2 linked regions of the Arabidopsis thaliana genome follow. The protein of the gene in region 2 interacts with the protein of the main gene of each other region in a pairwise test. Each region holds a gene or a part of one and is shown on either strand. Other genes may lie near its edges.

Region 1 (5,786 bases), on a different chromosome or scaffold from region 2:
AAATTGGAGTTGTGAAGATCGGTAAGATTTTGAGTGATATAGACTCCTCTTTAAGTATGGAAGAAGAAATATACAATGAAAAGAAAAGAAAATAAAACCGAACTATCACGTGCCTCTCATGTGTCTTTGATTTAAGCTTCCGTCAGAGTAACCCTCTGTTTCACGCGGAGTCTTACACTCTCTTTTTCGTCACACACAAAAATAAAAAATTTGATCACGTTCAAAACTTTTGTGAAGATACCATGTATGTAATCTTAACCACCCAAATAAATCCATCACTTATCATGCATATCTCTGAATAAAATGTAACATGACATCAAATCTGCTTTGTTTTCTCCTGAACTAAATTCTTGAAAAAAGTAATATATGAAAATCACAGAGATTTTCCAAATGTTTTGGGAGAAACCAATCTCATTTGCTACACTCTTGAACCAACCTCCTTTTAATACCACATATATAGCTTCTCTTAAAATGATAGGGTCAGCCATGGTTGTATTCATCTTATCGTTCTTTGCGCCTTGTTCCACCGACACAAAGCCTTCGATGAAACTCTCAAGATAAATCTAATGAACTTTATAAACTTCGAAGATGTTGTAAGTATGAATCTAGTAAATGAGAAACCTTATGTTGGACACTTATTTAACAATGCTGTAACAAGCTCAAGGGAATGTACATAATCACTTTTTTCACAAAGATAATCATATCATTTTTTCATATATATATTACCCAATACAATCAAAGTATGAGACATTTCTCATAAGACGAGAGCATACTCTTAAAATTCCCCAATACAAACACCTATACCCAAAAAATTTAATTCCCTGCATAATCTTATTAAGGAAGACTGATAATCTCAGAAACGCACAAAACCGGAGACTTTTCATGTATTAGGATAGTATCCATATGGGTAACTAACAGAATGAGATCTGTAGTGAAGATTCTGTTGAGTATTATTATTCATTTGATCTCCAGACTCTATAGGCTTCGGCTTAGGCTTAGCCACACGCTTGCTGCTCTGTTCTTGGACCGCTCCAAAGACTATCTCATTAGACTTTTCACTGTCCTGCTCATAATAAGTATGCGGGATCGATGAGTAATGCCTTCGATGCTGCTGCTGCTGTTGTTGCTGATGCTGATGCTTCTGGTGCTGCTTTTGCTGCTGTTGCTGCTGGTTGGGGAACTCAGCGTCCCAGCTACTGTAGAATGCGCGGCTCTGACGTAGCTGCTGCATTTTCTCTGCATCTTTGGACATAAAAGCATAAGTCTTTCTTGGAGTTGGGTTCCTGGGCTCAACAGGAGGAGGTCCGTCTTCGTCTCGAATCACAAAGCTCTCTTGAATTGGCCATGGAGTTGATGTGCTAAATGCAGCAGACTGCTTTGTTGTCCCATGGTACTGCTGAAAGCTGGTGCCTGTCTGCTTTTTTCTAAGGATCTCCATAACTGACTCCCAAGCATTTGAAACGAGTTTTCCCAGCGATACCACAAATGTTTCCTCTTGTTTCTCTAGCTGCTCGTCTCCAGCCGGAATCAGAGATGGTCTGGAATGTTTCATAGGCTTTTGATCAGGATCAGCTTCGAACATTTCTTGATCCTGTGTAAGAAATATTTGAATAGTTTTAGCAGAATAATAATAAGCCAGGGTAGTCTTTGAGACGAGCACTTACATTATGAGAAGACACGATAGAGCCGACTCTTCGTTGCAACAGAGCTAGCATATAACCAAAGAAACCTGCAGCAACAAGAACAGCAATCCCTGCAATACATTGAATTCAGAGTTATTCAAAGAAAAAAAGAGACAAACATAAAAAAAAGTTTGGTACTTTTGTAAGTTTACCAAGAGGAAACCCGCTTCCATACTGATAAGCACAGTCATCGAAATGGAGTTGAATCTCTCTGATAGCTTTGTTTCCACGGTCAATAACAAGCAGAGAACAACTACTTCCAACATAAACAACATCAAAATCATTTGAAAACTTTGCATCTTCACTTGGTCCATCCACATGCCCTCCATTTCGAACCGTTTTGCCCCCGGCAATAGTTGTAACTCCTTCACATCATAGGCATTTAAAACTCAGTACAAGATGCAAACGTATATATAACCCTTCTATGAATGCAGTTATGAACAAGCTATTACCTCCTTCACTTATCTTCCGGATAGCATTATTCACAGTATCAGCCACATATATATTTCCTCTGTCATCAACCGTAAGCCCCTTAGGATGGTTCAGCTTCGCATCACGTAATCTCCCGTCAACATGACCTGGATATCCTTCAGGGGAGCCAGTAACCAGTCTTGGCCTGCTATCTGCAAGTGTTTCCAATACTTTCCATATAAATAAAACTCAACCAAATAGTAGAAAGAAACACTTTTGCAAACCAATATAAGCTTTTGTTTCTATTCTGAACCATTTGAAACAAACACTTTTGTTTTAGATCTCATCTTTGAAAAAGTCAGATTCAGCAAACAAATGTACTACTAAACTATACCCGTATACTGATATCATCCCCGACAAACTCACTCCAGAAACGACAAAGATACAGCAAAATCTCCATAAAATAGTAATAAAGCTCAGACTTTAGAATTTTCAATTTGAAGTACCAAAAAATTCCATCAATTTTTCCATATGCAGCATCTTTTTGTACTATAGTCCCCATGTGCATTCAGTTTGAAGTGATGACAAAAGCACAATCGTGGTCTCAACATCATCACAATCTCTTCAAGAATCAATAAACCACAAAATTTGTACTTACATAATGAAAGAGAAGATGAGATCTTGTAGATGTTACTGTTCTCAGAATCAAGAATAAGTAACTCTCCGTTTGGTAAGACTTCAATAGAATACGGTTCAATACCAAGTTTACTTCCATCAAACACAGTCTCTACACTATACCCATTTTCGAATTTCACCATCGATCTCGTTGCAATAGCTGATTCATAAAAAAAGAGAAACCTTTATTCGTTAGAAAAAGATTAAAAAGCAAACTTTATGATCAGAAAATGGAAGAGGATTCGAACTTGTTTTGGTTGTGGTTTTGAGTGACCATAACCATTTCATTAGTGAAGAGCCATGATTTGAGATAAACCCATTAAGAATCTCTGCAAAAGGAGTAAGATTTGAAAACAATTAAACAAAGAATCGAAGAGAAGAGAGAGTTAAAAAAATGTGATTACGCTTACTTGCAGGAGAATTAGCTGAAGGAGCTGAAGATACAATCCCAGAGAGAAGTAGAATGAGAATACTTAGAACTAGAAAATCTCTACCCATTGATTGGATTTGAAGAAGAAGAGACAAGTTTTAAACTTGAGAAGACGCGGCAGAGGAAGAAACTAAGAACCCTAAGAAGCTTCTCTAGGGGAAGTATAAGAATGGCGGACAATGCGAAGATTTGAAATTTGAGGTTTCTTTCGATGAAAGAGAGAATTAAAGAGAAGAAACAGAGAGGTTAAGATTTGTGCAGAGTTTGTTGATAAGCAAAAAAGAGTGAAGACAGTGTCTCAGTGAGAAAAGAGGAAGGGGAAAGTTTTTATTTAGAAGGAGACAGAATAAAAAGAGTGAGAGAGAGAGTCATGTGATGCGATCAACGTCGTTACTTTTTTTTAATCTATAGTTTTAGAATGAAATTTTTTGTATGGGTTGGTTGATTAATTTAATTTTAGGAATATCAAAATTAAACTTTTTGAGTTTAGTAGAATAAAGCTGGAACTATATTCTCTGGACCTGGTGATTAAACAACTTTAGTCTTAGTTTATGTATAAGATCAGCTTTTAAAATTTATGTGATGGAATATATTCTACAACCACAGAATAAGTACAAATGTTTATATCATATACTAGATTTTTGGTAAAGATTGTAACTTTTCTAGTATGAAAGTTTTTGGTATTGAGCTTTTATTCATCTTTGATGGTTTTGATAATATGTGAAGAACATAAGTCATACATGTCTTTATATATAGTCAAATCTATAATCCTATAAAATAATGTAAAGAACTTTTAAACTATACTGATCATTTTGTTCTATGTAAAAAACACTGATGATTTGTTGGTTTGCTAAAGTGTTTATAACAAATATTTTTGTTGAGTTCATACAATTTTGTAATACTGAGTAAATCACACACTGAAATGTTAATTAGTCTTCAAACCAATAACCATATTATATACGAAAGTTGTATTAAATGCGATTTTAGTTATGGAATCATTCTGGTTGTATTAAAATGGTAAACAGACTTTGGAAATAAGTTTAGGTTTTAGCACACGAAAAAAAAAAAATGGTGTATATTATCAAAAAAGAAAGAGTTTTATTAATTTTATGATTGTGCTGTGGCTTTCTTTGAATGGCCACTAGTTCAAGCAAACAAAACATCCAATAGAGGAAACACACGTGTCAATGTAAGATCCATTTAGAGTACGTCACGTGTACGAAGGTAACGTGTCTGTCTATTTTACTCGATCTTTTTGTTACGATAAATGAATATAAGAGGGGTAAAGTAGTAATCACATATGGTACGAGTTAAGACTAGAGTCAAACAGTGCATATATTCTCCCACCAAAATCCTTGTTTCGCGCTGCCTTATCTATTTTTATTTGTAAAATTCACTTCTTCTTCTTCTTCTGTTTTTACCTCTTTTGATTTTTTATTGTATATTCACTTCTTGTTGTTTGTTTTTTTACCTCTTCTCTCATATTTAAAGTCTCAATACTAATTAAGACTCCATATGCTATTTTCCCCCAACTGAATCTTATTACTAAAAGAACTTTGTTACAAACATTTGATCATACAAAAAACAATGTCTCAAACATTTTTTTCAGCGACAATCAGCCTTTTACTAGCTGATTTACAAGACTTTCGACACTGCTTTTATTCATTAATATATATAATATATATATATATAGATATAATATATTTCCACTTGACCACCATTTTCTTGTTGATTTGCTAGCCGAAAAAACGTGAAAGAGATATTTATTGTCTTTTCATGTGAGCACAACGGTGCACATCTAGTTGTCTTCTGAAGCATACCATTTTTCCCTATCTAATCAGCGTAATAAACCCATACAAAACAGAAAAAATGAGATGAAACTTTTGAGACTAATTAGGTCCTCGCAACTTCGGATGCTGATTCTGCTAAAAATTGGAAACAGTGCAAAGTGAAAAAAACATAAATTAAATAGTGATATGTTGGGAAAAAGAAATAAGTTTTTTAGAATAAATGGAAAAATGTAAAAGCCAAACAACAAAAGAAAAGGAGCAATGGGAAAGAAGAAGGTGAAAAATGGTCCCCTTTAATTGATAAAACACTTTAACTGGAGAAAAGAAGATTCATCAAGAGATAACTCTTTTTGTTTTTCATAGGACTTTTTAAAAAAGTATCAAAGGGAAAATAATATACTGATTTTTTAAAATTCAAAATAAATAAAAAATAATTACAAAAAACAGAAAAATTATTTTAGTTAATCATTTTCTTGGTATATAGCTTAAACTCTTAAGAGAAAAAAAAAAAAGAAAAAAGAAAAAAAAAGGTTCCAACATAATTTTTGGGAATGTGAGAGTTGATAGTTTGGTGACGATTGAACCTCATGGGCTGGAAATAGACAAGTTGAGCTATAATTAGAATAAAGCTTACCAATCCATTGAGTTGGCAAATACTACAAAACTTTAATATGTAAAAAGAGTACAAAACGATTAAAAAAGCGAAGGCAGTGGGATAAATTTCGTGATAGCCACTACCGTCGGATGATAAAGAAGAAGATCGTTGGGGAAATAAATGGACATGACATAAAATTACAA
Region 2 (4,399 bases):
ACAAGTCCCTCTTTCTGGGTTCCTGAAATTGAGATATCTGATCGATCATACAAATTTCAATTCTTTTTGAGATTATATCACAATGTCCCATTTTCTCGGCCTAAATTTGGTCCGTTTATTTGTCCTTATTATTATATTAAATACTTGTTTATTACAGCCTCGTATTTGTATGTTTTGTCTACGGCAAGCATTTTAAATTTAAACAAAGAGAGAGACACAGATATGAGATGATTTTTTGGATCTGTCTCTCTCTTTTTTGGGATCATTTTTTAACCAAACTACGAGTCACAGATATGAGATGATTGATGTTTTAACGAAGCTGTGAACCGAATTTTCCAAAACATTGAAATTACACAAGTATGATGAACCTATTGTTTACGAAACCGGAAAACTCGGGCTTAGGGCCCAATAGTAGAGGCGGATAAAAAGAAATGCAGGCCCATTTGACCACAAAACGTTGGAGATTGCCCCTTTTAAATAAGAAACGAAGGGGTCAGCTATATAATTGAATGTCATGTTGCCGCTACTATATCTCGTGTTTTCCATGTTTAAGTTTCTGTCTTATTGCAACTAAAATGGCTTCACCTGCCACTGCAACTTCCGGTTGAGCAACTAGCTAAGTAAGAAACTGCCTACTTTGTTGTTGTATCTAATGAAGAATGTTTCAAGTATTGTGTCATTATGACTCCAAATGATTTCGTAATCTCTATATTATGAATTGACAATCACACATTTTGTTGTTAACATACAAGGATCAAACATGCATATACTACTAATATTTCGATGGCATTTCAATCCATACTCGGCCGTGTTTAGCTACTCTTGTTCAACTGTTTCTCCCTGTCCGGTGTTATTCCCGCTTCCGTTGTTACCGTGAACTTTTATCTCCAAAAGCCTTTCAACAGGTTGCCTGCAAATGGGGCATCGATTTGTCTGAAACCTCAATACCTTAGCACATCCGCTACACATACACTGCACCACCAAACCCAAACAATTTTTAACATCTATATATATGTCCATCATCACATAATAGTAGTAAATCATCAGCTTTCACTTACCATATGTCGACATGGAAGAACAGTGGTGTCTCGTGGTTCAGACAAACATATAACACATTCTTTACCAGGATCATTAGCATCATCAGCTGAATCATCATCCCCCTCAACTGTATTCCCAATCCCATAAATCTCCTGCAACTCATATCTCGTTCCATTAACCCATAGTATCTGCTTCACCACTCTAATCTTAATCTCTCCTTTATCCTTCTCATAAACCGCTTGAGTAATCTGCGCATTCTTCGACCCCGACCTTTCTTCTTCTTCATTCTCACCACCTGAGGGAGCTGCTTCTGCCTTAACCGCTAATGGATAGATCTCTGTGTCTGCGGCCGCTTTGAACAGCTCAACGTCCTCAAAGACCGAAAAGTCTATACCAGAACCAGATGATTGTTTAAACTTCTGACCAAGTCCTTTCTCGAAATCTAGAGTGATAGGTGGCAGTATATCTTCCTTTGTCGCTGTGAGTTTGCAATCTTCGGATTCTTTAGCAAAGAAAATGACACTAATCCTATTTTTCACAAGTCCAACATAATAACATAAGCTTAATTCAATTACACATGAAGAAGATTTGATCAAATTGCAATAAGAAGATCCAAATTACATAGTCACGAGGAAGAACACAACAAAATTCACGTGTTATCTGCTCAAATGGATCACGAAATCAACGAAAGGGAGAAAGTGAAATCTACCTTCCGGAGACGGTTGCATCAAACGTAAAGGAGACGAGAAAGCGACCCGGATTATCCGGGTCGGGTTCAAGCCTAAGAGACTCCTTCTTGAGATTAACGTCGTTACGAATCGTGACGGCTTTCTGGTGTTCAACGTAAGGAGTCGGTTGAGCCATCATGTGACCAGCATAAGGGTATCTGGCCATCGCCACGGGAGCCCAAGAGTGGTTGTGGTAAGGATGCGGTGGATGATGTTGGAGGTGGTGGTCGTACGGCGGAAGAGGCATGGCTCCCGGGGGAGGATGGTGGTAGTAAGAAGCAGGGTACTGGTAAACCGGATTAGGATTAGGATTAGGATAGGGAGTAACGGCAGCGAAAACGATGGGATTAGCTTGGATTTCTGTAGGTAGAGGTGGTGGAGGAAGAGAAGAAGAAGGAGGAGGAGGAGGTGGTGGTGGAGCCGCCGTATGGTTTCGCCGTCGACGGCGTCTACCTTCACCACCGCTGCTGCTAATGTTTCCCATATGTTATTGGCGTTAAACCCAGATCAAAAAGACAAGATTTTTTGGTGACCCAAATGATCAAATCTCAGAAAATTGCTAAATTTGTGGGTGGATCGGAGATTCTGGGGATTAATATTGAGTGAAATGTAAGGAATTACGAAAAGCAAAAGCAGAGAGAGTTTAGATGAATTAAGAAAGAAAGAAAATAAAAAGAGAGAGAGAGAGATAAGAGAGAATAATTTAGGAGAAGAAAGTGGGTAATGATATGATGAATGGGGTCAGGTTGGCCAAGAAGCTCCACCCATGAACATAAAACACCTCCCACCCTCCTTCGATGGTGTTTATGTTCCCAAAAAGCTTTCTTTTTTTTTTCTTTGGACTTTTTTTCTCCTTGTTATTAATAATTACGTTGATTATAAGGAGTTTTGTCTTTTCAAAAAACAAAATTCAACACGAGTACTTAAAAGAGTTGAGGTGTGTTATATGACGACAAAAATATAGAAAGAAAGATGTTATCTTTTTAATTAGAAACACATTCCCATTAATTATTAGAGCATCTCCATTTGAAGTATCTCAATAAGATACCCAATAAAAAAAAAAAATAATTAAAGAAGAAAAAGTATGATAGAAGGAAAAAAAAGTAGAAGAGAAGGAGAGTTGAATTTCTCTTCCGAGAAACTTTGAGAAACTATTCTCATCCAATTTGGACAAGTGTCATCATACTATTAATTCAATTATTAAATAATAATTAATGTATCTGTTTTAATTAAAATATTATTTTTATTTTTTTTTAGAATCTTTCCTTGTTTTTACTGATAAAGATGGTCTTAAGATTTTTATTTAGGTCTACATTAGGATTAATTTGTTCATGCTTTAAAAAGATGATGTTATTTTCAGAAACCATTAATTGAGAAATCCAAATATTTTACAGAGTGAAGAAGTTGTCGATCATTGCATAGTTCTGTCTTCTGTGTGATTAAAGAGTTAAAAGTCACTTGTGCTGTCCGAAATGTATACTAGGCAATAGGCATTGTCTACTTTCCGCTTCTAGACTTATATTGCCTAAATATCTACTAGTAATTAGTGTGAAGTTTAATATGTATTCCTAACAAAGTAGGCTATACTTTATTTTTATTTTTAACCTATAATAAACCTACTTTTTGCCAACATAATATTCTTATATACAGTAGTCCGAAAAGATGAACTGGTATTTTGGAATTCATATTTAAACTTGTTTTGTCGTCTTTGAATAATTGTGTATAAGTTTAACCCAAAACACAAAACAAAACTGATGTATACTTTAATGTCTTAAAAATTAGTGTTTCTACAAAAGCATAAGCTCCGTTGACCAAAAAGAAAACATAAGCCCTAAAAGAGTTTTTATATTTTCAAAACCCTAAGCTAATTTTTTAAAAAATTTGTATGAATTTAGAGTCAAGAGATCACCATTAGCTAAAAAAAACGTCACAAAGAATAAAAATATATAAACATTCTTTCAAAGGAAGATATATATATATATATATATATATATTCAGTAGCCAGATTAAACTGTAACTATTGGATGTTTGATATTACGTGAAATTATATTACATGTTGATTTTGATCAAAATCAAATTATATTCGTGATCATATACAGATAGATATCATATTGAAACATTCCCATACGAAGGTAGTGGTGCGATTCGAAATCAAAAATAAATAAAGAGACATAATAGAATCGCATACCTAACCACTCGCACACACTTTCATTAAGCAATTCCAAAAGACGAACATATATAAACTAAGAAAAATAAATGGGAATCAATTATAAAATACTCTATATATAGTGGGAAACGGCAGACCGGATATATCATCAAGTTGGATACATATGTTGTGTAAAATCTGTAAAATCAATTGTATCAATTTATAGTTATGTAGACCTATGATCGTGACATATATATATATATAAAAACTAAACTTTGTTCTCTGTTGAATGTTGATGCATCTTTGTTATAATTTACAGGATAACAAATATGACGTCGAACGTAGCATCTTCTTGGAACACTAATGTAATATACATATGTCAAAGATTTTCTTAGGTTTGAGTCACTATGATTGAAATAGATCGAGCTCAGGTGTTTCTAAGAAGATATTTCGTTAATTAGTGAGTATGCTTAGACCCTTACATTAT

What was found.
Region 1: the proteins of LOG2 (region 2) and AT1G70280 interact in a protein complementation assay, tested with the Arabidopsis thaliana proteins (one large-scale study listed by BioGRID).

What each region holds. Positions count from the first base shown.
Region 1 is NC_003070.9:26,465,206-26,470,991, forward strand, and holds AT1G70280 (NHL domain-containing protein), read right to left. Parts: upstream 3,600-5,786; 5' UTR 3,267-3,599; coding exon 3,179-3,266; intron 3,098-3,178; coding exon 3,017-3,097; exon of another isoform or gene 2,929-3,016; coding exon 2,752-2,928; intron 2,306-2,751; coding exon 2,135-2,305; intron 2,048-2,134; coding exon 1,835-2,047; intron 1,754-1,834; coding exon 1,665-1,753; intron 1,592-1,664; coding exon 881-1,591; 3' UTR 599-880; downstream 1-598.
Region 2 is NC_003074.8:2,995,586-2,999,984, forward strand, and holds LOG2 (RING/U-box superfamily protein), read right to left. Parts: upstream 2,671-4,399; 5' UTR 2,251-2,670; coding exon 1,748-2,250; intron 1,567-1,747; coding exon 1,059-1,566; coding exon of another isoform or gene 1,044-1,058; exon of another isoform or gene 973-1,043; coding exon 817-972; 3' UTR 594-816; downstream 1-593. UniProt on the Arabidopsis thaliana protein: Acts as an E3 ubiquitin-protein ligase, or as part of E3 complex, which accepts ubiquitin from specific E2 ubiquitin-conjugating enzymes and then transfers it to substrates (in vitro).